Linked DNA regions of Danio rerio. The protein of the gene in region 1 purifies or fractionates together with the protein of each later gene. This does not show direct contact. Links are inferred from orthologs where the notes say so. Each region holds a gene or a part of one and is shown in the gene's direction. Other genes may lie near its edges. The genes, in order: kpna2, ran, polr1e, mta2, polr3c, chd8 and polr3f.

Region 1 (2,277 bases):
ATTAGTTTTGTTCTTGTTTATTTACACTCTAAGCTTAATAGATATTATTATTATTATATTAAATTTATTATAAAGGTATACACTTAAGATTTACTTTAAACCTTGGGCTCTTTTCACAATCCATGCGCAGGGTGCAAACGCATTAGGGCATGTCAGAATCCACTTTTTCTTAAATAATGAGGGAAAAAATCCGCTTTGCGCCATGGCGCATGGTCTGAAAGGGTTCAGCTTATTTTATTAATGAGTTATAGATGTGTTTTGAGAATAAACCAATCAGAGTCTCATCTCTCATTCCCTTTAACAGTGCGTTGCATCGCACCATAGCGCATTTGCTATTTACATGACGTAAGTGGAAAAACTGAGCGTTTCACTAGCAAGAAAACAGTTAAACAGAGCATCTACAGCGCGAGAATGAGAAATGAGCCTCCTTATTAACTTTCACGTTTGTGGATAGGGAAACGTGTCATACGCACCGACATCAATTAGCCTATAAGTAATTAATTTAGTTTAAGCGCAAAGATTAGTTTTAAAACTATTTCTAAAATCTGTTCTAATTTCCAGCAAACAAATAAATGAACAATAATAACGAAGTGTGTTCAAAAACCTGAGTTATATCCTAATACACATGCTACTCCCATATGGTCTGAAACCTGACAGGTGGGCAAATCTAAGCTCGTTTTTAATTAAGCAAATATAAATATGCATATAATACTGCTAAAAATAATACATTATACATTAGCAAATTGTCATGAATGAACTGAAAAAGCCTCCCGGGATGAAGGCATGAAAGTATAGTTTTTATATTAATTTAGGCTTGAAAATAATCTTTTGTAATATTTTTAATCCTTAATATGTATTATATTTTAATTTTTCATATGTAAAGATTTTTGCGTATTGCTCTACATTTTGTGTGTATTAAGCAGTGTGTAAGCGAGGCGCACAACTAACGTGCTCTGCTGGACAATAGACCGGCTTTGTTCAGGTCTATAGAACCGACTATTATAGTTTCTCAAAATAGCAATGCACCTCAACACGCCATCTTTTTTTAGATCAGAACGCCTATGGGCGCACATATGATTGTAAAATAAAATAATTGTGTTTTTTTTTTTTTTTTTTTTTTTACAAATTTGATGACTACAAATTGCTAATTGCAACTTGTAACATTCTCCCTATAAATTTACATTTAGAAAACCTATTAATGTATTACATTTTTTTTTAATCCGTCTATAAGCTTCTACTGGTCCAGAACTCAGCTGCCCACATCATCACTAAACTCTTTTTCACCATATTACCCCCATTTTACAAAATCTGCACTGGCTTCCAATCCAACCTAGAGTCGATTATAAAATCGTCCTGCATACTTTTTAAGGCTATCCATAACCTCACACCAGCTTATTTGTCTGATCTCTTCCATATCATCACTCATTTCTGCTCCCTTAGATCCTTCTCCTCCATACACTCTGTTCCCTCTGCCAAAGCTATTTGGCTATTTGTATTTTATAATCTTCTCTTTTTTTTTTTTTTTTTTTTTTTTAAATATACTGTGGGTTTATTTTTAAATTATTGAATTGTGTATATTTGTTGTACAGTGATCATGGGTTCTTGAAAGGTGTATTGCATAAAACGTATTTAAAATTATTAGCTAAAAAAAATTAAAATAAAGGTTTTTACATGTATTATCTCTAAACCTCAAACAATGTTGTTTTTGGTGTTCAGGACTATTTGTTTTAAACTGTAGTGAGCATGCATTACCGCTAGATGGCGTGAAAGCTGTGTAGAATTACCCTGACCAGCCAGTTTTTCTTCTACAGGCTGGTTACCTGAGGAACGTCACATGGACCTTGTCAAACCTGTGCCGCAATAAGAACCCTGCACCACCTCTGGAGGCTGTGAAACAGATACTACCCACACTCATCTGCCTTCTGCAGCACAGTGACAAAGAAGTGCTTGCGGACACCTGCTGGGCCATCTCTTACCTGACCGACGGGCCCAATGATCGCATTGAGGTTGTGGTGAACGCCGGTGTGGTTCCTCGACTGGTGCAGCTACTGGCATCTGGGGAGCTGTCCATTGTGGTAAGTTGGTGGAAAGTAGTGAACTCTTGAGTTATACGTTTAAAATGGTAAATTTAATAATAACTTTTTTATTTTTTCCTGCCACAGACCCCCTCACTACGTTCTATTGGTAACATTGTCACTGGCACAGATGAACAAACGCAGGCTGTGCTGGAGGCTGGTGCTCTTCCCATGTTCCCAGCTCTGTTGCGCCACCAAAAGA
Region 2 (2,736 bases), on another chromosome or scaffold:
TCACTAGGGTCTTAAAATTTACTTAAAAGAAACTTGCAGAAACCCTGCAAAAACTTTAACTTTGCAGCCTGTTAATTGGTGAAACTGAAAGTTGTGAATGCAAAATTCACATAATTAACTTGGCATTTAAAAATTTCTTTTAAGTGATCATAAACAAACAATTCCAAACAAAACTGGAGCAGATTTGCGAATCTCTGCTCTTGTTTTTAAATAAGATTTTATTAAAAGTCTATGATTTAATGATTCATTCATAATTGCTTGTTTCTTTATAAATTATCAGTTTGAATGGATCATTTTTATCTTTTAAATTTAATTTCTCATTAAAGGATTGGTTCAACCAAAAATTCAACTGATTTATTCACCCTCATTTGGTTCTAACCCATTGCCAGAATCTATATTACAATATTTTTAATAAAATCAAGAGCTCTCTTGACTCCCTGGACCACAACATCCACAGTCCTGCAAACCAAACAGAAGTTCCATGTGACTTTAATAGTTTTGTTGTAATCATACAAAGAGCCGAAAACACTTGGATCGACTGAAAAAAAATGAATGTCTTTGTTCACCAAGGTCTACTCTTCTGCATCAGGTCATGGTGCAGGGTCACTGGTCAAAGTGTTTGTTGTCTGTAGTGCAATACGCAAGTGTTGTAGTGCAAATGCACACTCTCCCATGATGTGCAAGACATTTATGATGGTTGTTTTTACTGTTCGTTTTGTTTTTCTTTGAGCTTTAATTAGTTGAATGACTGGGGTTACGTGAAATGGTTTGACAATGGTACTTATTTCTTTTCTGGATATTCTATACATAGAGCTTCATAAAGTGCTTGGATTTCATCTAAAATAACTTCTATTCCAAAAAACAGTGAGGCCTCTAGGATTGAAATGACAAGTGCATGAGAGAGCTTTTTTATTTATTTCCTTTTTTTGGGTGGTTAACCCAGCTACAACACAGACTGGCCGGTACCTACTGATGGATTTTGTTCCATTTATCTAAAAGTCATAAAACAGCCAAGATATCGGCACAGTACAATCCAGAAAATCGAAATATCAAGCTGTCCATTTTTGCTGTAATCATGCACCACTAGTGTGAAATCATGTTCATCTGCCTTCGCTTTTATATTTAAAACCCACATTTTAAAAACCAATCAACAACATTTTGCATCAGAAGTATTCATGCTACTTTTTGGCTAATCTGATACACTGATAGATTTTGTCAATGCTTCTATTCTGTTGTGATGTGAGTGTTCAGGATGTTTCTCCTGTGGATGTGAATGCCAGTTCAGGTTGTCAGATCATTCATGTGATGTCTCTCTCTTTCCTCAGTACTATGACATCTCTGCCAAGAGTAATTATAACTTTGAGAAGCCCTTCCTGTGGCTCGCACGGAAGCTGATTGGAGATCCCAATCTGGAGTTTGTGGAAATGCCTGCTCTTGCACCACCTGAAATTGCTATGGACCCAACACTTGCTGCACAGTATGAGCACGACTTGAAAGTATGTACATTTTTCATAACACAAACATACAAACTTACTGCAACTGCCAAAACTTCATTCAATATGTAATGTTTTTTTTTTTCTTTTTTTTTTTTTTTTTTTCTAGGTGGCATCAGAAACAGCTCTCCCAGATGAAGATGACGATCTTTAACCTGTTAGCCTCTGACCTCAAGGCGATGTCACTGTTTCCTGGTGACGGGTCCTTCCCCTGCCCCTTTTACTGTACAACCTTCCCTCCCCCAGCGCAGAATATTTTTATTTTTCAATTTTCGGTTTTTTGTTTTGTGTTTTGAATTTGAGTAAATTGTGTGGTTGATTTCATTGTAGACATGCTAACTGTTGCCACCAGATACACACATGCAGACATGCCTACACATTGACACATTCGCTCACTCAAAGGTGTGAGAGCAGGCTAAGTGTCCCAGTGCTTACTTCGATATGTAAGGCTCTAAGCACTTAGAGGAATTCTTGGAATAAAAACATTCTCAATATAACCTTGCCTGGTTTCTCCTCAATTTATTTGACCTGAATTTGATAATGTCTCTGAAAATAAAACTATTGGTTGAGTATCTTGTGTAATCGTTGTATTCATCAGCTACTCTGTATTTTTAATCTGTGCTGTGATTTCAACCGTATTTAGTGCTGGATAAAGATTAATCGCATCCAAAAGTTTTTGACCATGTTTTTGTATTTAATACTTGTGCTGCACGCATGGTTAGAAATAAAACAATACAAAACAATTGTTACATGGATATTTATATACAATTTGTACCAGTAACGTTATAGAAACATTTATTAAATATGCGTGCAATGTTCATATACATAATATACACGTAAATTGTCAAATCAAGCCTGTTTTGGGTGCCATTCATTTTTACACAGCTCTCATTTAAATTTATTTTAAAAAGTGAGTCATTAGACCTAGAATTCCTAGATTAAAATTGGCTTTTATGTGTATTGTTTTGCCATTTAATAATTCATTTTATTTGTAAATGACATTTGAGGGCGCCTTAAGTTATAACAAGCATCAGCAGTCATCCCTAAACAAATAAAAACAATTGATGAAACGTTGCTGAACAAAATATTAAATGCATGTTAGGAGATGCAGGTGCTAGACTTAAGACTCACTGCTCCTTAGGTCCAGGGGTAGTAGGTTCCTTATAGCCGAGAAGCCATGGAGCTGAAATATCTGGCTCCCATTAATCAACATTATATTTAAAAGCTGATGATTAATAATAAC
Region 3 (3,500 bases), on another chromosome or scaffold:
ACATGTATTTTTTATGCTCACTGTTATATTCTGATCATTTTTTGTGTTCACATAATTTCAAAATAAAATAATGGAAAATGTAATTGGGGAAACAAACTACCAAAACAGAGAAGGCTTGTTGTAAACTATGGAATGTTTATAGAATTTATCTATGAACAATTTAATCATTTAGATTATAATTGATCGTTTTTAAATGTCTCCAGTAATCATTTAGATACTTAAAACGTTCATATCAAATGAATCTAAGTCTCCTAACTAAGATTAAATTAATGCATTCCTACTGTCAGATTAAAGGAATAGTTTACACAAATGGAAATTTGAAATAAGTTGTTTACATTTTAAGACTTATATTATATGTAAAACAAATGTTACACACATACTGTTTGCTATGGAATGTCAAAACTTTATAGCTCATTATCTCAAAATTATTCAGAACGCAGATATAACCTTGTAATTCCAAGGTGACAAATTGTCATCATTTACTCACCCTCCATTAGTTCCAAACCTTTGAGTTTCTTTTGACCTATATATATATATATATATATATATATATATATATATATATATATATATATATATATATATATATATATATATACTGAAGTATGTTGGAAACAGGTAACCATTGTCTTTCATAGTAAGAAAAATAAATACTATGAAAGTCAATAGCTACCAGTTTTCAACACATTTTTCAAAAAAATCTTCTTTTCTGTTTAACAGAAGAAACACAATCAGGTTTGTAAAAAGGGTGAGAAATTGGCAGAATTGTTCTTTTTTGGTGAACTGTCCCTTCAATTAAAAACAAACCTACAAACATTCTAGAGATGTTTCAGAGTCATGGAAATTAATTTGTGTAGAAAGAGTTTAATTTGAGGTCAATTTTAGCTCCTGATTAGACTTTGAAATTCTTATTTGTACTAATCTAATTGCCTTTTTTAGTCCGCAGACAGTTCTCAAACATCTTGAAACACTTTCCAAAGACGAGGCGGATCGAGACAGACAGTGTCGTTGTGCCTGGTACCTTTCCTTTGTCATCAGAGCCTCGCTACAGAAACGAATTTCCTTTAAATGTGAGTTTTACAGAAGCAAAGCTAAAATATTGAATGCGTCTGTCTGTACAATAGACGATAATATTGTATTGATTACAAATACACTTATTGTATATGGCCCCTGTTTTTTTTTAAGTAAATATATAAATAAATAACCTGAATTGCTTTTAATCCGTTTTACAAGTTGGTAGTGACGATGGATGTCCACGAATCATCATCAACAAAGTGCTGAAGAATTTCACCGTAGAGAGTTTCCACAATGGCAGGTGTGCTTGTGTCTTAATATTTACTATTTTTTGATAAAACCTTCAGATAATGGCCGTATATCAATGCATGTTTTGTCTCTACAGTCTCAGGAACACAGTGTCGATGTCCATGCGCATGAAAATGGCTTCTTACTGTCTGGCTTTACTGCTTCACATGGGTGGCCAGACTGCAAACCTCACACTCCTACACAGGGACATGAGCATCAGCGAAAACAAGTCAGTCCAATGCTTCCATTTACAAACATATTATTAATATTGAGAATTCTTTTGTTGGTTTTTCTGAATTTAATGTGTTATATGTTTCGATATAGGATAATATATTCATCTGCTGTAAGATAGGGCTGGACGATTGATCAAAGTAATCGAAATCGACATTCAGAATTTAAAATCAATCTTTTTCCAGGTCAATTTTATCAATTACTTTTCCTACCATATGTGGAGTCTCGTGACCCTGCTCTGTTTACAGTTCTGTGTTGAGCACAGCATATGTACTGGTGCAGCCTTCACATGGTCGGATACCCCTCGACTAATGCCAACGCTGACCTCTCAAAAATGTAACTACATGTTGTGACGACGCATAACTTAAACTCTGTGATTGGTCTGCTTGGTAGCATTGACAAGTGGCGGCGCGAAGAGGCCAAAGATAAATAAATAAATCATTCATAAATCATAATCGAGTTAAATGTTCAATTAATTGAGATTTTGATTTCAGGCCAAATCGTCCAGCCACATTGTAACACTTTAGTAACACATATACACTATTAGCTACAAACTGTTAGCCTCACTTAATTAATGGTTTACTAACAGTTAGCAGGGTAGTTGTGAGTTTAGGTATATGAGAGGATAATGGGAAATAAAATATGGTTGGACAGATAAGGAATTAATATGTGGTTTATCAGTACTAAGAACAGGTGTAAAATATGCAAGCTAGTTCAAAGTGAGAATTGGTCCCCATTCGGAGTGTGCATTTTCAAAAATGGAAATGTTTGTAAACAATTTCCAGTCAAGCGTTAATGTGGTCAAAAAAATGCTTAATCCTATTGTATGTATATCATAGATTTATATATACACTCCAATATGGACATCTGAAATGGTCATGAATGAGCATACATAAAATTATTGCTAATTTGATAACAGATGTTCGTTTTTTTATTTTATTCAATGACCCAAAGCACACTGCCAAAATATCAATGGATTGGCTTCACAACAACTCGGTGAATGTCCTTGAGTGGCCCAGCCAGAGCCCAGACCCATATCCTATTGAACATCTCTGGAGAGATCTGTAAATGTCTGTCCACTGTCACTTCCCATCCAATCTAATAGAGCTTGAGAGGTACTGCAAAGAGGAATAGGCAAAAATTCCCAAAGAATAAAATTCCCAAAGCCAAGGTGTGCCAAGCACAATTTCAAAAACTCTTTTTTCACATTGTCATTATGGGGTATTGTGTGGAGAATTTTGAAGAAAAAAATGAATTTAATCCATTTCAGAATAAGGCTGTAACAAAAAAAAAAAAAGTCAAGCCCTATGAATACTTTCCGGGTCCACTGTACTGTCAGTCAGAGCAGCTGTTAGCCGTATCAGTTTGAGTCTCAATCAGACAGAAAATTAAGAGGACATAGCTGAACCTCATCCGTGCTCTCCAAAATAAAATCTGACCAGTGTCTTTCACATATATTTGGAATAAGCATGTGCAAGTAATATGAAACATTCATATATATTTTGCGATTTTGTTATCTTAGATTGGAGAGCGGCTACATTGAGAGACAAATGACATTTTACAATCCACACCTTCTGCTATTATGGTTGAAGCTGCTCCTTCTTTGAGGAGTTTTTAGCTGAATCCAGCACTGAACTGGGAGACATTCCGGAAGCTGTTTTTTGTCAAATGCTAGCTACACATGTTTTTAAAATTCACTGGAACGTAATTAAAATTAAACTGTAAGCACTTCTCTCTTTATTTTGTTATTTGGAAGCCCAAATACAGAAACAGAAGAAGCTCTGTGGAAAAAGCAGCGTTTGGACTGCATTTTAGCTTTCTCTGCTATAACAATACAGCGCATCTGGCCACGCCCCTTTGCTGCAAATGGTGTATGTGCGGGGTGAATGCGCGTAACCTGAACCGTTTGTGATCTCCTTAACCAAGGTGTATTTTCTTGTAGTCCACAAACTTCATTCCTTGTAGAC
Region 4 (3,500 bases), on another chromosome or scaffold:
TTATAATTACATAGTTTGCATTCATTTGTATATACATTTTATATTTTACATAGCTATTAATATGCAAAAATCAAATAGCCTAAATCATTGGATTTGTTTAAGGGTGCTTTCACACCTGTGAATCGATTCAGTTGTTCCGAAACAGAGATTAAAATTGTTACATTGTTGCTCTTTGCTCTTGGAGCGGTTCGCTTTCACATTGCAAAGTTTCTAATCGGACCAAAAGAGCTAAAACAAGTCACGTGCGAGTAAACTCTCCTCACATTGGTCAGAGTGTCAGGGTTTATTTTGCAGCGTCCCGCTCAGCTGTCAGGAGAGGTGGTGGTTTGGTGGTGATTGACAGGGTGCGCGCGTGTGACGTGTCTGAGGAGAGATGCGGTGGGGAGGGGTGAGAAGGGTGCGCGACGATGCCTATTTGAGGACTGGGAGAGAGACGCGAGATTACCGGGAGATCATCACTCGTTTGCGGGCATCCGGAGACTCGCGAAACTTCCCGCCCTACTCATAATTCTCTCTTCATATAGCCGTAAGCCTATTACATATCCATAAAACACTGTGATATAAGCGCGCTCGGATCGGATCGCTTTCTCACTGCAATCGAACCGCTCCAGGGTTCGTTTCAATCGAGCCGAGACCACCTCACTCAAGCGATCTCGGAGCGATTACTTTGGCGCGGAACAGAGCGCGATTGCCCTGTTCACATATGCCAATCGAACCGCGCTAACTGGGCAAACGAGATACGTTCCGAAACAAAAGTGTAGGTGTGAAAGCACCCTAATTCGTAGATTAAGTTATGTTGGCTATTTTTTTAATGGATCTTTTATAAGAACTGTAAATAATTTTTCCAATGAAAAAAAATGTTGGTTTGTGGGTTGCTCCGACTTGTGGCCAACAGTGGACATTTCAGAAAGTTTGCGGCTTCTTTCTCTACTTTTGCTAAGACACTGAGGTGTTTATAATGCAGATCCTGGAAAAGGGTTATCAGCACTGGTTTGGCATCAACTTGTCTGTTTCAAACTGTGACCATCAATGTCTTTATTTTCACTCCTTTCATTTTGCTTATTTAGCACAATACGTCTATAGTTGCACTTGTTACCGCCCGGCGGGTTAACAAATACATGTTGTACATTTATGCAGCAAAACTTAAAAAATACTAATTAAAAAAAAAGAATATTTTAAACCATTTAACTGATACATTAATTGATAAAATATGCATTCCTTCGGTTAACAGTTAATCAATTAATGCAAACACCCCTACTTTGTGTATTTTATACTTGCAATTAACTTTCGGCTGTGAGGTCTCTTGAAAATCTCAAATGGTTTGTACATGTCTATCTTCTGTTTACCAATCAAAATGTTCATCCCTCCTTCAGCACCAAACCCAACCCCAACCAGATCACAGCACCTGGAAATAAACCTGGCATGAACGGTGCCACCGGCTACCAGAAAGGCCTCAGTTGTGAAAGCTGCCACAGTGAGTCAACTCGCCACTGCAAACATCCACAAACAGTATTTAGATACAAGCTGAGTAATTCCCATGCACTATACTGTATGTGTTATCATGGCCTGTTGTTCTTGCAGCTGCCCAGTCTCAGCAGTGGTATGCATGGGGTCCTCCTAACATGCAGTGTCGACTATGTTCGTCCTGTTGGATTTACTGGAAGAAATACGGTGGTCTGAAGACTCCAACTCAACTAGAGGGCGCCACAAGAGCCAGCTCAGTATGTCAACACCTACGTCTTTTAAAAATATATACAGCCAGAAAATGAGTATATAGCTAAATGAACATCATATCTGTCCAATAGGAAGCAGCTCCGCGTGGTCACATGACCCGTCAGGAGGTGCAGGGAATGTCCCCGTTTACCAGCAGTGCGGGACGAGCTAAACTTCTGGCCAAAAACAGGCAGACCTTTATCCTGCAGACCACCAAACTCACTCGAATTGCCCGTCGTGTGTGCCAGGACATCCTGCAGTCTCGTCGAGCAGCCCGTCGCCCGTACGCTTCCATTAACGCCAATGCTGTCAAAGCTGAGTGTGAGTCTTTTTATGCAATATATAAATAAAAAAATGCTGTTTTATACAGTTGAATGAAGATGTGTCTGACTGCCTCTTTCTTTTCTTTTAGGTATGATAAGACTTCCCAAAGCAGCAAAGAGTGGTGTGAAAAACCGGCCTATTCCTCGACCATCCCTCATCAATATAGTTAAAGATTTGGGTATGGCTTCAGCATTATTTCATAATAGAGACATGCTTACATCTTATCAAATTAGCTGACTTTTAAAGCCTAAAGTGTACAGTCAGTTTTTATGTATATGCAAGTGTCTACACACAATGTGCATTGGCAGCAGGTATGCATATACTTTGTCTACTTGGTCTCAACACTGAAGCAGACCACTCGCTTGACATTTTGAAATAGATGAGATGAATCAAAACAAGAAGAATTATTACAGATCTTATTTAAAGGCTGTGTCCAAAAGCTCTAAAATGCTGCCTTTGGATACAGCATTCAAAGGTGTGAAGGTATTAAGGGCGTACTCAAACTATGTACAGTTGCCTTGAACTGGGCCAAAGCACGCTTATCGCCATTCCCATCTCCCCTGGCGGCCCGCACTCGCCTTACATTCGAGCCCTGGCACGCTTACGTCATCGCTGATGCGCTGTTCAGTAGAGAAGCGCTCTCGCTCAGCACAGTGGAGATTTCTTACTGTTCAATGACACTTGTCCTAAAAAAAAACTAACCAATATTCATTTTTAGTATAATCTGAGGGATTGTTTTTGTTTGTCAAGCCACTTCTTTTGATTAAATTAACACTGATGCGAATGTAGTGAGTTGCAACTGTAAATGTAAACACACACCTAAATAACTGCAAAGTATACTCTTGGCTTCGTGGTGGGGAAAAAACTACTCAAAAGTGAATAAGTATGGCTCAAGACTGATCATTTGACTCTTATTTATTATTTTACACAATTTTATTCAGAGTATTCAGAGTAATATGTACTCGTTTTATTTATTACTTTTTTAGCCATTCAAGCTCCTTTGAAACTCAAAGCCCCTCGAGGTGCTCCAACCCCGATCAACCGTAACCAGGTTAACCAGCCTCGCAGCGCATCTGCCCTGCTGGGCAAAAGGCCCTTCGACAATGTGAGTATCCCTTACTAATGTACATTAGCCTTTCCCAGAGGTAGAAAAAGTAGCGTACATTGATCTAAGCACCCTCATTGGCCACAGGCTGGAGGTCATTTGCTCTCCACCAACGGAAGACCGTTTGCAATGGGAATGAGAGCAGCCAACCAGTCCGTCATCAAGAGGCAGAAAGTCAGTCAAGGCGATGCTCCCAATCCTGTGGTGTTTGTGGCTACGAAAGACACCAGGTATGCGTTTCAGGGTGTGTTCACATTTGATTACTTTCATTCAGTTTATGTATTCTGATGCTGTTATGGGACGTTCACACAAAATGCGTTTTTCCTTTGCAACGTGCTACTTTCCTATTGTTTTCCAA
Region 5 (3,500 bases), on another chromosome or scaffold:
ATTTATTTACAGTACAGTTTTTAAAATCATATTTATTCTCTTTTAGCAGATCTATTTAATGAGGGACTTGCTTTGTTTACCAAACAAGTGAATCTAGATGGATTTGCTTTGTAAACATTAAATAAAAGTTTAAAAGGTTTTATTTTATTTACTTTTATTTCTTGTGTTTTTAGTTACGATAATCCTGAAATCATTCCGCATGAATCCGCAGATGTTTTAAAAATTCTTAGCAGAAATAGTAAAAACATGTCTGCAGATTCTGTCTGGCCCTTATCAAGACTTCTTTTCACTCCTTTTGTATTATATGTAAAGGAAATCCCCAAAACACCTGATCACGCACCCTCTCGAACCTTCTACCTGTACACAGTTAATCAGCTGCCCACCGCAAGACTACTTCTGCAACACTGCTACAAGGTACGTAGCTCGCACGAACAGCTTTAAAGCATTTGTTTAATTAATGAGTGTATTTTTTGATTTGATATCTGTGTGTGAACCTCTTTACAGACAGTTGGGAACTTGATTGAGCGGCGGCTGTATGAGACCAAAGAGAACAAGCAAGTCTCTTCTCCTTTTCAACATTAAAACATTTAAAGGGATAGATCACTCGAGAAGCTATAATGATCATTTACTCATCCTTTACATGTTTTTAACCTTCATGGGTTTCTTACCTCTGTTGAAAACAAACAAAGATATTTAGAAAAATGTTGGAAACCTATAAGTAATTTGAAACCTTTTTACTCTTGAACACAAACAAAGACATTTGTAGAAAGCTCAAAACCAGTAACCATTGACTTCCATAGTAGGGAAAACAAATACTATGAATGGAAGTCAGTGGTTTCCGGTTTTGAGCTTTCTTGAAAATATTTTCTTTTGTGTTCAAGAATAAAAAGAAAGCTTTGAAATTACTTGAGGTTAAGATAATGTTCGTTTTGAGTGAACTAACCCTTTAATCTACTGTGGAAGTTTTTGATTTTGTCATTAATGTTTTGTTTATTATTATTTTGACAGGCGGCTTTTGGAGAAATCTCAGCGGATTGAGGCCATCCTAGCATCCTTGCAGGCGACCGGTGCGGAGGCGACACAGCTGACCGAGGTGGAGGAGATGATCACAGCTCCTGAGAGACAGCAGCTCGAGTCCCTGCGACACCATATAAACAAGTACTGCAAACCAAGTCCCCTTCCTTTCTGTAGCATTTTATATATTGTAGAAAGACAATAGGTGATCAAATTAAAAAATCTGATAACAATATTTTAATTTGTGGGACATATTCAGCATTTCAGCCAGGTAGCAGTACAGTGGTAGAATGCTAGATATGTGCTAGTTAGTTAAAAACTGATTCAGTTCATTTAATATAAATGTCAGTGTTAAAGGACGATCCCCTGATTTCAAACAAATCAGATCTTTACCACTTTGGGCCCTATCGTACACTCGGTGTAACAAGGCACAAGATGGGTTTCCACGACGTGTTGCTATTTTCAGACCAACGCAACATTAATTTTCCCGTTTTCCGCCCCGTTGTTTAAATAGCAAATCCATTTGAGGCACTTTGTGGACTTATGGATGTTTCAGTCTAGAAAAGAGGTGTGTTAAGGCGCATTGTTGGCGCGTAGCTATTTTGAGGAACTAAAATAGACTGTTCAATAGACATTTATCATGTTTGTAAACATTCAAGATGCGCGCAATGGCTAAAAAACCGGGAGCACTACCATTTACAGCGAGGGAATGACATCTGATGTAGTACAGAGTTCGTTGTTGTCTTAGAAATAAGTTATATTGATTACATATTATATATATTATTTACATAATGCTTTTAGCGTATTATAACAGCTCGTCACTAAGTGATAAACACAGTTATTCTGCTAAATTTACATTAAGGTGAGCGCCATTCGTCTGACAGGTCTATTTGCGATAGCACTCTCCCAATGATTATTGGATAAGACGAAATGGCCAAGCATCGAAAAATACAATCTCATTGAAGCTCTAAGTGTTTTTACAAGAGAGAAGTTAAAGGTCTACAAGTCTTTGGATGCCAACAATTTTGTTTAGCGTGGTCATGTGCAAGAAATAATGTTTCCAATTCACCTATAGCGCATGTCTTCGGACATGTGGGGTAAACCGGAGCAAACCCACCAGAACATGCAAACTCCTCACAGAAATGGCAGTTGAACCACCCAGGGCTCAAACCAGCGACCTTCTTGCTGTGAGGTAATTGTGCTACACACTGCTGCCCTAAAGAGGTTTAACATGTATTAAATAGTTTTTAAACCTTACCGTTTCGTGACTGAGTGCACATTCTGTATTTCTGAATGGCTGTATTTAAATTTCTGTTGTGTTTCATCTGGTGCAAACAGCCTAATTGCTCATCACGGCAAATCTTTTCACACAGTGTGTTGTTAGGACACACGGTTACAATGTTACCTCTGCTCACCTAATGATTACATTCATAATATTTAAATGATCTGCTAATTGATAACCTCATGTGCAACTCTCAATCGGCATCTCATTTCAGAGTCTACTACTGTCCACCAGAGGTTGCAGTTTGGTCACGGATGAATGTTTTCAAAGCCTTTCTGAATAGCGAATGAATAAAATACGCAGTTTTCCAACAAGGCAACTCGGGCTGCTGAAATATAATTGGCTAAAGTGGCACTGGGTGGGTTAAAAGAACCAAAACAAAGACAGCGTTCCAGCATGTAACAGACATTTTCAAAGTAGAATATCTGACTTCAGCATTGTTTTTCAGATAAACAAGATCTGTTCGCTTAGCATGTTTCTTAAGTATCTGCAAACATATTATGGTATTTTTATGCATTTGAAGAGTCAAAATCGTACAGAGAGCACCTTTAAATATTGAATTATTTAGAAACTTACACTGACAGAATTACACTGTGGATTCCATCTTGTGGTCAGATTCGGGAATTCATTATCCGTCCGATTGTTCGCGCTTTATCGAGTTGCATTATGGGATTGATTTTAGCACACTTCAGAATGTCCACTGTAGACACATTTACAAATTACTGCTCCCTCAAATAGATTAAGGGTATAGTTTGTGATTTTGGATACAGCCAGGGCGTTAGTACACATTGTGTCGAATCATGTGGTTTATATTCAGTCAATCATTAATCAAATCTCTTCTCTTTGTGCTCATGGTGGCAGGTTGGATTCCAGCGAAAACCAGGTGGATGAGACCATTTTTCTTCTGGAATCCTACATTAACTCCACACAGGCCTCTCGCTGACTGTAGACTAGTTTAGGATGTGAAATAGATGGATAAAGGTAAATTGTCAAATGGAGATGTTTATTTCCTTTGGAACAAAGAGTGACCGATTTGTATTTAATCACATTTTGTGTGCGTGTGTGCATGTGTGTGTGTGTGTGTTTGTGTTTGTGTTTGTGTGTGTGTGTGTGTGTGTGTGTGTGTGTGTGTGTGTGTGTGTGTGTGTGTGGCTGCAAATGCAATTTTAGCATCCTTTTTTTTTCTCATGTGGAAAAAATAAAA
Region 6 (3,500 bases), on another chromosome or scaffold:
GCACATATGAGATTAGTGACGTCAGTACATAATAACTGGTTATGATCTATTACTGCTCGGATACTGAATTGTTTGTGTGTGCGTCTCGGTGCACAGATGAAACAAGTCATTTTGACACCCCTAATGTTTAAAATATAATAGTGTCATAATAGCTTATAAATTGGATGTTTTATGATGTTCATTGTTAATAAATAATAATTAAATAAATAAAAATATTTTAAAACACACAAGATTGAATTAAAAACGTGTTTGAAATGGTAGTTGTTGTAAAAATATTCTTTGTACTTAAGATATTTTATTTATTTTTTTATACTTTTTAAGTTCGTTATGTCTATTCTTGTGCGCATATTGTGAGTGACGTGCATGCGCCGCTCACACTTTCCAAGTGCACTAGTGCACAGTGCGAGTGCACTGAGAGTCACGTGACATGAAATGGACCAATCAGGTACATACTATTTATAGAATCTGCACGTCATGCTGCAAAGCGAGAAAAAAACTACAAAATGAAAATACCAAACAATTTCATAATACAGTTGATCAAAAGTGCCTTTCAGGCAGAGGTTCAGCAGCCTTTGACTACATTTGTTCTCTAATATGTAGCTTAGATTTACATTAGACAAATGCTATATATTTTTAATTTATTATTCTGTCATTTATTTTCAGTGTAATATTATTATTTATGTTTCAATGCCAAAAACTTTTTAAACTTATTTTTAAGTATATAGAGAAATGGATTATCATCATTTTGTGCTATCTTGATTGGTTACTCCACAGCAATAAAAACACATTAAAATATAAGGAGTTCTCAAGGTATTTTCTAAACTAGTAGTGTTTTGTTATTAATGTATGCATGATAATCGCGATAAATCTAAAACCATGATTATTTTTCAGACTATAATCATACAACCAAAATCTATAATCGTTGACTCCCTATTAACAACATGAAGTCTTATAGAAAACAAGAACTGCTAGTTACAAATTAGGGTTAAGGTGCAATTTAGAGGTTTAGTCATTGCTTGTTCAAAGTAAATAATCCCATTTTATCCGATAATATTCCTCTTTATCTTTCAGTTACTGGAGGGAAAAGGTCTTTTTTTCTCCAAATAACATATTAAACTATCACTATACAGAATAAGTTCCATGTCGCATGGCTTCTCTTGAACTTTTTATAATATTTCATATATCATATCATAAAGGTTAAAATTATTTTACAGCTTGGCTTAAGTAGTTATGAAGTAAATAATTGTTTAATAATTTAATAAAGTTAAATAAAAATGTAAATAATTAATTTCTTTTCCTGGTATAAAAATAGCATTTTTAAAATTGGGCTTTCTCACATACACAGGTTTTTTTTAGATTGCTATAGTCCCACCAAACAAAACTACAGCAAAACACCAAAAATCTTTATTTCTAATTCTTTAATAACACTTTTTTTTCCCTGTCATCTTTTCTTCCTTTATTAGAATCTCAAGATATGTCTCAGTCTCTGGCCCCGATCACAGAAGAGCGAGCCTCACGAACTCTCTACAGGGTCACCCTGCTGTGTCGGTTGCGTGAGCGTGTTCTTCCTCACCCCTCGCTCGAGGAACGCCTCAGTCTGGCACCACAAACCTCTGACCTGCCCAGTTGGTGGAGCATCCCAAAGCATGACCACGAGCTTCTCTTAGCTGCTGCCAGACATGGAGTGAGCCGCACTGAACTCTCCATCTTCTCTGACCCACTGTACTCCTTCAGTCAGAGCCGCCTCGACTACCTCCAGAACCAGCAGGCTCAAGCAGCTGCACAAATCCACGCCTTCAGTCAGTCACAGGATCCAGCCGGCATCAAAGAAGAGGGCCTGGAGGATGAGTCTCGACTGCTGGGTGTGGAGGCTCTCTGTCCGTCAGACTCTCCGGCCATGCTGCTCTCTCATTCTGACAGCAAAGTTGGCATTCAGGCTGGCTGGGTCTGGAAGAAGAGCAAAAACAACGGGCCGAGTGAGAGGAAATTGGGAGGGGGAGGAGGAGGGGCTTCAGACTCTGATTCTGATTCAGATTCAGGCTCGTCTTCCTCCTCTCGGCATTCAGGCAGCTCAGATGATAGTGGAGACAGTGATGTGGAGAGAGAACAAGGTAAGCGGACACTTTATTTTGAAGTCCTCATGATATCTAAATTGACTCGGTGCACTTTTGTTAGTTTTCCATGATATTTTTAGAGTGAAATGTATAGTCAATGCGCTGTTACTCCAGACAAAAATAGTTCGTTGCGTTTAGAAAGCACATTATACAAAATATAATGCTTTATTTTCACGAAATTAACTGTAGAAAAAATATATGATATTTGCTTATTGGTTCCAAAATAAGGCAGAAATCTTTTGAAGGAAACTAAAACATTTTTATTAGCTGTGATTTTAAATCAGGGGTCTCAAACTTAAATTGGCGGGGGCCATATCAATGACTGACAATTCATAAAAGTGGAAGTGGAATTCTCATGTAATTGATGCATTCAGACTTTCTTCCCCAGAGCATACGCAGTCACAGCTTCTTCTTTTTTGTTTCTTATTGTACGTATTGAAGGGGTAGTTTAAGTTGCTATGAAAATACTACAATTTAATAATAGGCATAGTAATATTATAATTACTGTGTCCCAATCTTTACTCAACCAAAAGTTTAACAGATAACACAAGAACAGCAGAAAGTAGATTGGGTAATCTTAGATTGGGTAAGAGACTTTACTGGCAATTGTTCTTCTCAATCACTTTTTTTTTTTTGTAAAACTACAACAAAAAGGGGGTAGGGGTGTATATTCACTATTACTTTAACAAGTTCATTTCAGCCAGCAGTCAAACTTTACTAATGCAGATTTTTTATACAAATCTTAATATGCATATTAAATGAGAGCATTTGAATGGAATATTAGCAAAACTATCATATTTACACCACCCTCATAACCCATAAGCCATTGAGATGAGCTTGTACAACACGATACAGGTGGTGTAAAACTAATTATAATCAAATCACCCTTGAATATTTTAAACATATAGCTTTAGTAGAAATGGAGCATCTACGGACAGATATTTCAGCGTTTAAATCAGCTCCAGAAAATAATCTGCTTGTGGTACTTTCGAGCGCATGCTGAGAAAAACCAAATGCAACCCAAACATATAGTACAGTACTTAAGACGTCCAGTAGGTGGGGGGTCAAAACCACTAGTGGCTATATGTGACTGCACTGCACAACAATGATAGTGATTCAAAAATATATGTTTTGTGGGGACGAATCTCATATTTTTGACATCATATGCGGGCCGGAGGGAGGAGGAGGGGGGGACGCAAATGGCCTGCGGGCTGGCAGTTTGAGAACCCTGTTTTAAATATTAGTTTTTTATAATATATAAAACCTTTCTGATCAATTGAATGCAATGTTGTTGAGTGTGGACAGTTAGTTAAATGTATTTTGAAGTATTTTTAACAAGAGTATATGTATTCTGTAAAACATTAGGGTTTATGGGAAGTGCTAGAT
Region 7 (3,500 bases), on another chromosome or scaffold:
AAGACAGTCTACTGAAAAAAAAAAACTTTTTGTTTTGGCAGTCATTAATTAAAATCTAATGGATATAACTGTATGACTGTATAAATGATGCTATTAATTAACATAGATAAATTATTGTCTCTTATTTCACCTTAACATATTAAAATAAGAAATAAATAAATTCTGTTTGCATAAATGTAAAATAATAAATAATTTTATAAGAAATAAAATTCTCTGGGTTATTTTAAGGTGAATCCTTTTATCAGGTTAAGAAACCCGCATTAGTAAATAACAAAGCCAAATATCAGTTAATCATAACTTAAGCAGACCCATTAAAAAAAAGTTTTGAGCTAGACGTTTGTTTCGTAATGTGGCACGTTTGCCACCTTAGCTTTTGTTTGGGCATATGTGAAATCCGCGATTGAGTTCTTATGAATGCCAAAATGAATGAATGAGATGGTCTCGGCTTAAAATCTAGAGCGCTTCGGTGTTCAGTTGCTTGTTTTAATTATTTTGATCTGTCTATAAACTTTGTCATGTGAAAGCAAAACGCATCAAGAACAAAAAGCAACATTGTAGCAATTTTCAGAACAAAAAAATTGATCTATAGGTGTGAAAGCAAACCTTAAACTGCGTTTCAACTTACTAGTGTGACACCGAATTAATCAGAAATATGTAAGTTAATTCTGAAGTTGATTGAAGTTGAGTCTCAATTTTCCAAATTCAACGGTTCTGAATTCTGAATGTGATGATTTTTGAATATTAGTGTGAATTGTTGATTCTGACTTCCTAATTTGGTTATTTCCAAATTTGACTCTTAAAGAAACACTCCACCTTTGTGAATGATGACTGAATGATGGAATTTAGTTTTATCCATATTTTACAGTAAAATAAACCCTGCATTTACTTAAAAATGTGAAATTTTTAATAATTAGCAATATGTTTGTTTTTTAGGCTGAAACAGCGAGAGATAGTAAGCAGAGCCCTATGGTGCAGAGAAACAGCTCATTTGCCACCTCTCATGAAGTGTGGAAATACATCTGTGAGCTCGGCATCAGCAAAGTGAGTGTCAATAATATGCTTTCTGAAAACATGAACGGAAAAATTCAGTATAATATGCTGCTCCTGTGTGCAGGTGGATCTGTCCATGGAGGACATCGAGACCATCTTGAACACACTGATCTTTGATGGAAAAGTGGAAATGACCATAATTGCCGCTAAAGAGGGAACAGTAGGGAGTGTGGATGGACAGATGAAGCTCTACAGGGGAGTCAATCCCATAATTCAACCCACTGGCCTGGTTAAAACACCATGTGGACTGTGCCCGGTAAACCTTTACTGTTTTTTTTTTTTTTGAAAGAAACTATTAAACAAGTCTGAATGGAGTAATTCAGAATGTTCTAAAATGTTTCCAATATGAATTACTGTGCCTGAGTCTGTATCGGTTAAATCTAAATTTCCGTCTTGATTTTGATAAGTCTGATTTGAAATTGATAATTCTAAAGCCTGAATTCTTATTGGGCTTAGTCTGAATCCTAGATGTGGTGATTGGGAATTCTGAAGAGTCTGTATGAGCGTTGCACAATATGTAGTTTCAGCATCGATATCACAATATGCGCATTTTGCAATAGTCACATCGCAGGATCTGCAATGTTGAACAGGTATTATTTTTGACCAGGAGCTACATTTGAAACTCTCATGATTTGTGGAGGTATTGCAACGTTTAACCATAAACATACAAGACATGTATTACTTATGTGTGTCTTTATCATTTAAGTTAGATTAAAATATTTAGGCATAAAAAAATGTTTCTAACTTTAAAAGCGATTCATTGTATTTATATATATATTTTATACGACAAAGACCATACAGTGTTATTTTACATTTATGTATGTGAATATTGTTAGACTTCCAGACAAATCAAAAAGCACTGTTTATTTAATCTGTATGGTGTAGTGCACTATTATATATCTCAATGTTTGTGATTGGTTTATTATATTTTATGTAGATTCAGTCTCTCTTTCCAAAAAGACTTATTCAATTCATCTGGTGAAATTTTTGATTCAATATCACAATATATATCGTATAAATAAAATATTGTGAATTCATGCAGCCCTAGTCTGTATTAGGAATCTTCATAATTCTGTATTGTATGAAGCAGTATTTTGGATTTAAAATGTTGGTTTCTACATTTTCTGAATTGGTTGGTCTGAATTCTGAATATGATGACTCTGAATTCTTAATTTGAGTAGATTCGACAATTTGACGAGTCTGAATATTCCAAATTTAGGGGTTCTGAATTCTGATTGTTATGATGTTTAATATCAGTATCAATTATTTATTCTGCATTCTTAGTTTGGCAATTCTTATATCTAAATTTGAATGGTCTGAATCTAAGTTTAACTCTTTTGCTGCGTCCACACCAGACGCGGAAGAAGTGCCAAGTGCGAGTGATTTACATGTTAAGTCAAAGCAAAGCTGCGAATATATATCCTGCGCGATACACGCGAATGAGGTGGCGCGAATGATGTGGTGCAAGTTGAGCATTTTGCGCTATTGATACACTTGACGTGCGTTTCGAGCGAATTGCCCGATTTGGTAAAATCTGAACTTCAGCAGACAGTTAACCAATCAGGAGGCTTCACCACATTAACCAATCAGGAGCTTGTTCTTGTATGGGGTATGCTTATGACGTAGCGCCTGTTGTTGGTGTCCTGAGGGAAAATCCCCCTGCCGACACTGACAACCGTTGATCAAACTGGGCTCGGCTCAATCAGAAGCACTGCTGAATGCCTCCATCATCCAGATTATGTTTCTGGAGGAGTTTATGAACTCACAGAGCTGGTTGCAACTCAGAAAGGATATAGTGGACTCAGACATGGCTCCAAACGAATTGATGCTGTTTTTCAGCCTTCATAAAGCACGTAAAAACAGCTATTCACTCAATAAAATCTATGTTAGCCATTTAGCAACAAAGCTACAGTTGCCAGGAAGACAAGCCCTAACCATGATGCGATCCTGCATCTGTTGTGAAGCGGATGATGCACAAATGAAGCGAGTAAACTCAAAATGTTCACACATTTATAAACGAGCGAATAGCGCATGCCACATCTGGTGTGGACACAGCATTACAGGAACATGCTCTTTTCACTAGTCTCCTAGAGTTTAACAGTTAACTTGAAACATTTTTGAATCCATTTAGACGATTTCTTTCTTTCTGGAGGCGTCTCTTTTAGCTTAGCTTAGCATAATGCATTAAATTGGATTAGACCATTTGCATTTCGTTGAAAGAATTAAAAAAATGTTAATAGTTTTCCTATTTAAAGCTCGAGTCTTCTGTAGTCACGTTGTATTATATAAAATTGTAGCTTTTATTTATACTGACAGAAAATTAAAAAGACAATATTGCTAGGATTTATGCTCTCATTGTGGTCAAGAAACTGCATAGTGTCTATATAATAAATACATCGTACACACGCATTATGGGGCGATGCAGTGGCGCAGTAAATAGTGCTGTCGCC

What was found.
Region 2: the proteins of kpna2 (region 1) and ran purify together in Homo sapiens (affinity purification with mass spectrometry; 3 studies listed by BioGRID and IntAct, with this or other methods). This does not show direct contact. The link is inferred for Danio rerio from reciprocal best matches to the Homo sapiens genes KPNA2 and RAN.
Region 3: the proteins of kpna2 (region 1) and polr1e purify together in Homo sapiens (affinity purification with mass spectrometry; 3 studies listed by BioGRID and IntAct, with this or other methods). This does not show direct contact. The link is inferred for Danio rerio from reciprocal best matches to the Homo sapiens genes KPNA2 and POLR1E.
Region 4: the proteins of kpna2 (region 1) and mta2 purify together in Homo sapiens (affinity purification with mass spectrometry; 4 studies listed by BioGRID and IntAct, with this or other methods). This does not show direct contact. The link is inferred for Danio rerio from reciprocal best matches to the Homo sapiens genes KPNA2 and MTA2.
Region 5: the proteins of kpna2 (region 1) and polr3c purify together in Homo sapiens (co-immunoprecipitation; 3 studies listed by BioGRID and IntAct, with this or other methods). This does not show direct contact. The link is inferred for Danio rerio from reciprocal best matches to the Homo sapiens genes KPNA2 and POLR3C.
Region 6: the proteins of kpna2 (region 1) and chd8 purify together in Homo sapiens (affinity purification with mass spectrometry; 4 studies listed by BioGRID and IntAct, with this or other methods). This does not show direct contact. The link is inferred for Danio rerio from reciprocal best matches to the Homo sapiens genes KPNA2 and CHD8.
Region 7: the proteins of kpna2 (region 1) and polr3f purify together in Homo sapiens (co-immunoprecipitation; 3 studies listed by BioGRID and IntAct, with this or other methods). This does not show direct contact. The link is inferred for Danio rerio from reciprocal best matches to the Homo sapiens genes KPNA2 and POLR3F.

Annotation. Positions count from the first base shown.
Region 1 is NC_133178.1:24,115,676-24,117,952, reverse strand, and holds part of kpna2 (importin subunit alpha-1), read left to right. Parts: intron 1-1,811; coding exon 1,812-2,075; intron 2,076-2,162; coding exon 2,163-2,277.
Region 2 is NC_133189.1:25,986,190-25,988,925, forward strand, and holds the end of ran (GTP-binding nuclear protein Ran), read left to right. Parts: exon of another isoform or gene 1-122; intron 123-228; exon of another isoform or gene 229-1,325; coding exon 1,326-1,496; intron 1,497-1,602; coding exon 1,603-1,647; 3' UTR 1,648-2,236; downstream 2,237-2,736. UniProt on the Homo sapiens protein: GTPase involved in nucleocytoplasmic transport, participating both to the import and the export from the nucleus of proteins and RNAs. Switches between a cytoplasmic GDP- and a nuclear GTP-bound state by nucleotide exchange and GTP hydrolysis.
Region 3 is NC_133176.1:21,140,520-21,144,019, reverse strand, and holds part of polr1e (DNA-directed RNA polymerase I subunit RPA49), read left to right. Parts: intron 1-939; coding exon 940-1,070; intron 1,071-1,233; coding exon 1,234-1,315; intron 1,316-1,399; coding exon 1,400-1,531; intron 1,532-3,500. UniProt on the Homo sapiens protein: Component of RNA polymerase I (Pol I), a DNA-dependent RNA polymerase which synthesizes ribosomal RNA precursors using the four ribonucleoside triphosphates as substrates.
Region 4 is NC_133182.1:17,905,426-17,908,925, forward strand, and holds part of mta2 (metastasis-associated protein MTA2), read left to right. Parts: intron 1-1,373; coding exon 1,374-1,474; intron 1,475-1,581; coding exon 1,582-1,721; intron 1,722-1,805; coding exon 1,806-2,034; intron 2,035-2,125; coding exon 2,126-2,215; intron 2,216-3,023; coding exon 3,024-3,142; intron 3,143-3,229; coding exon 3,230-3,372; coding exon of another isoform or gene 3,373-3,386; intron 3,387-3,500. UniProt on the Homo sapiens protein: May function as a transcriptional coregulator. Acts as a component of the histone deacetylase NuRD complex which participates in the remodeling of chromatin.
Region 5 is NC_133191.1:14,620,385-14,623,884, forward strand, and holds part of polr3c (DNA-directed RNA polymerase III subunit RPC3), read left to right. Parts: intron 1-312; coding exon 313-414; intron 415-504; coding exon 505-554; intron 555-1,008; coding exon 1,009-1,158; intron 1,159-2,089; coding exon 2,090-2,206; intron 2,207-3,157; coding exon 3,158-3,239; 3' UTR 3,240-3,277; exon of another isoform or gene 3,278-3,500. UniProt on the Homo sapiens protein: DNA-dependent RNA polymerase catalyzes the transcription of DNA into RNA using the four ribonucleoside triphosphates as substrates.
Region 6 is NC_133177.1:41,117,520-41,121,019, reverse strand, and holds part of chd8 (chromodomain-helicase-DNA-binding protein 8), read left to right. Parts: intron 1-1,463; coding exon 1,464-2,111; intron 2,112-3,500. UniProt on the Homo sapiens protein: ATP-dependent chromatin-remodeling factor, it slides nucleosomes along DNA; nucleosome sliding requires ATP. Acts as a transcription repressor by remodeling chromatin structure and recruiting histone H1 to target genes.
Region 7 is NC_133197.1:25,881,332-25,884,831, reverse strand, and holds part of polr3f (DNA-directed RNA polymerase III subunit RPC6), read left to right. Parts: exon of another isoform or gene 1-178; intron 179-933; coding exon 934-1,041; intron 1,042-1,114; coding exon 1,115-1,306; intron 1,307-3,500. UniProt on the Homo sapiens protein: DNA-dependent RNA polymerase catalyzes the transcription of DNA into RNA using the four ribonucleoside triphosphates as substrates.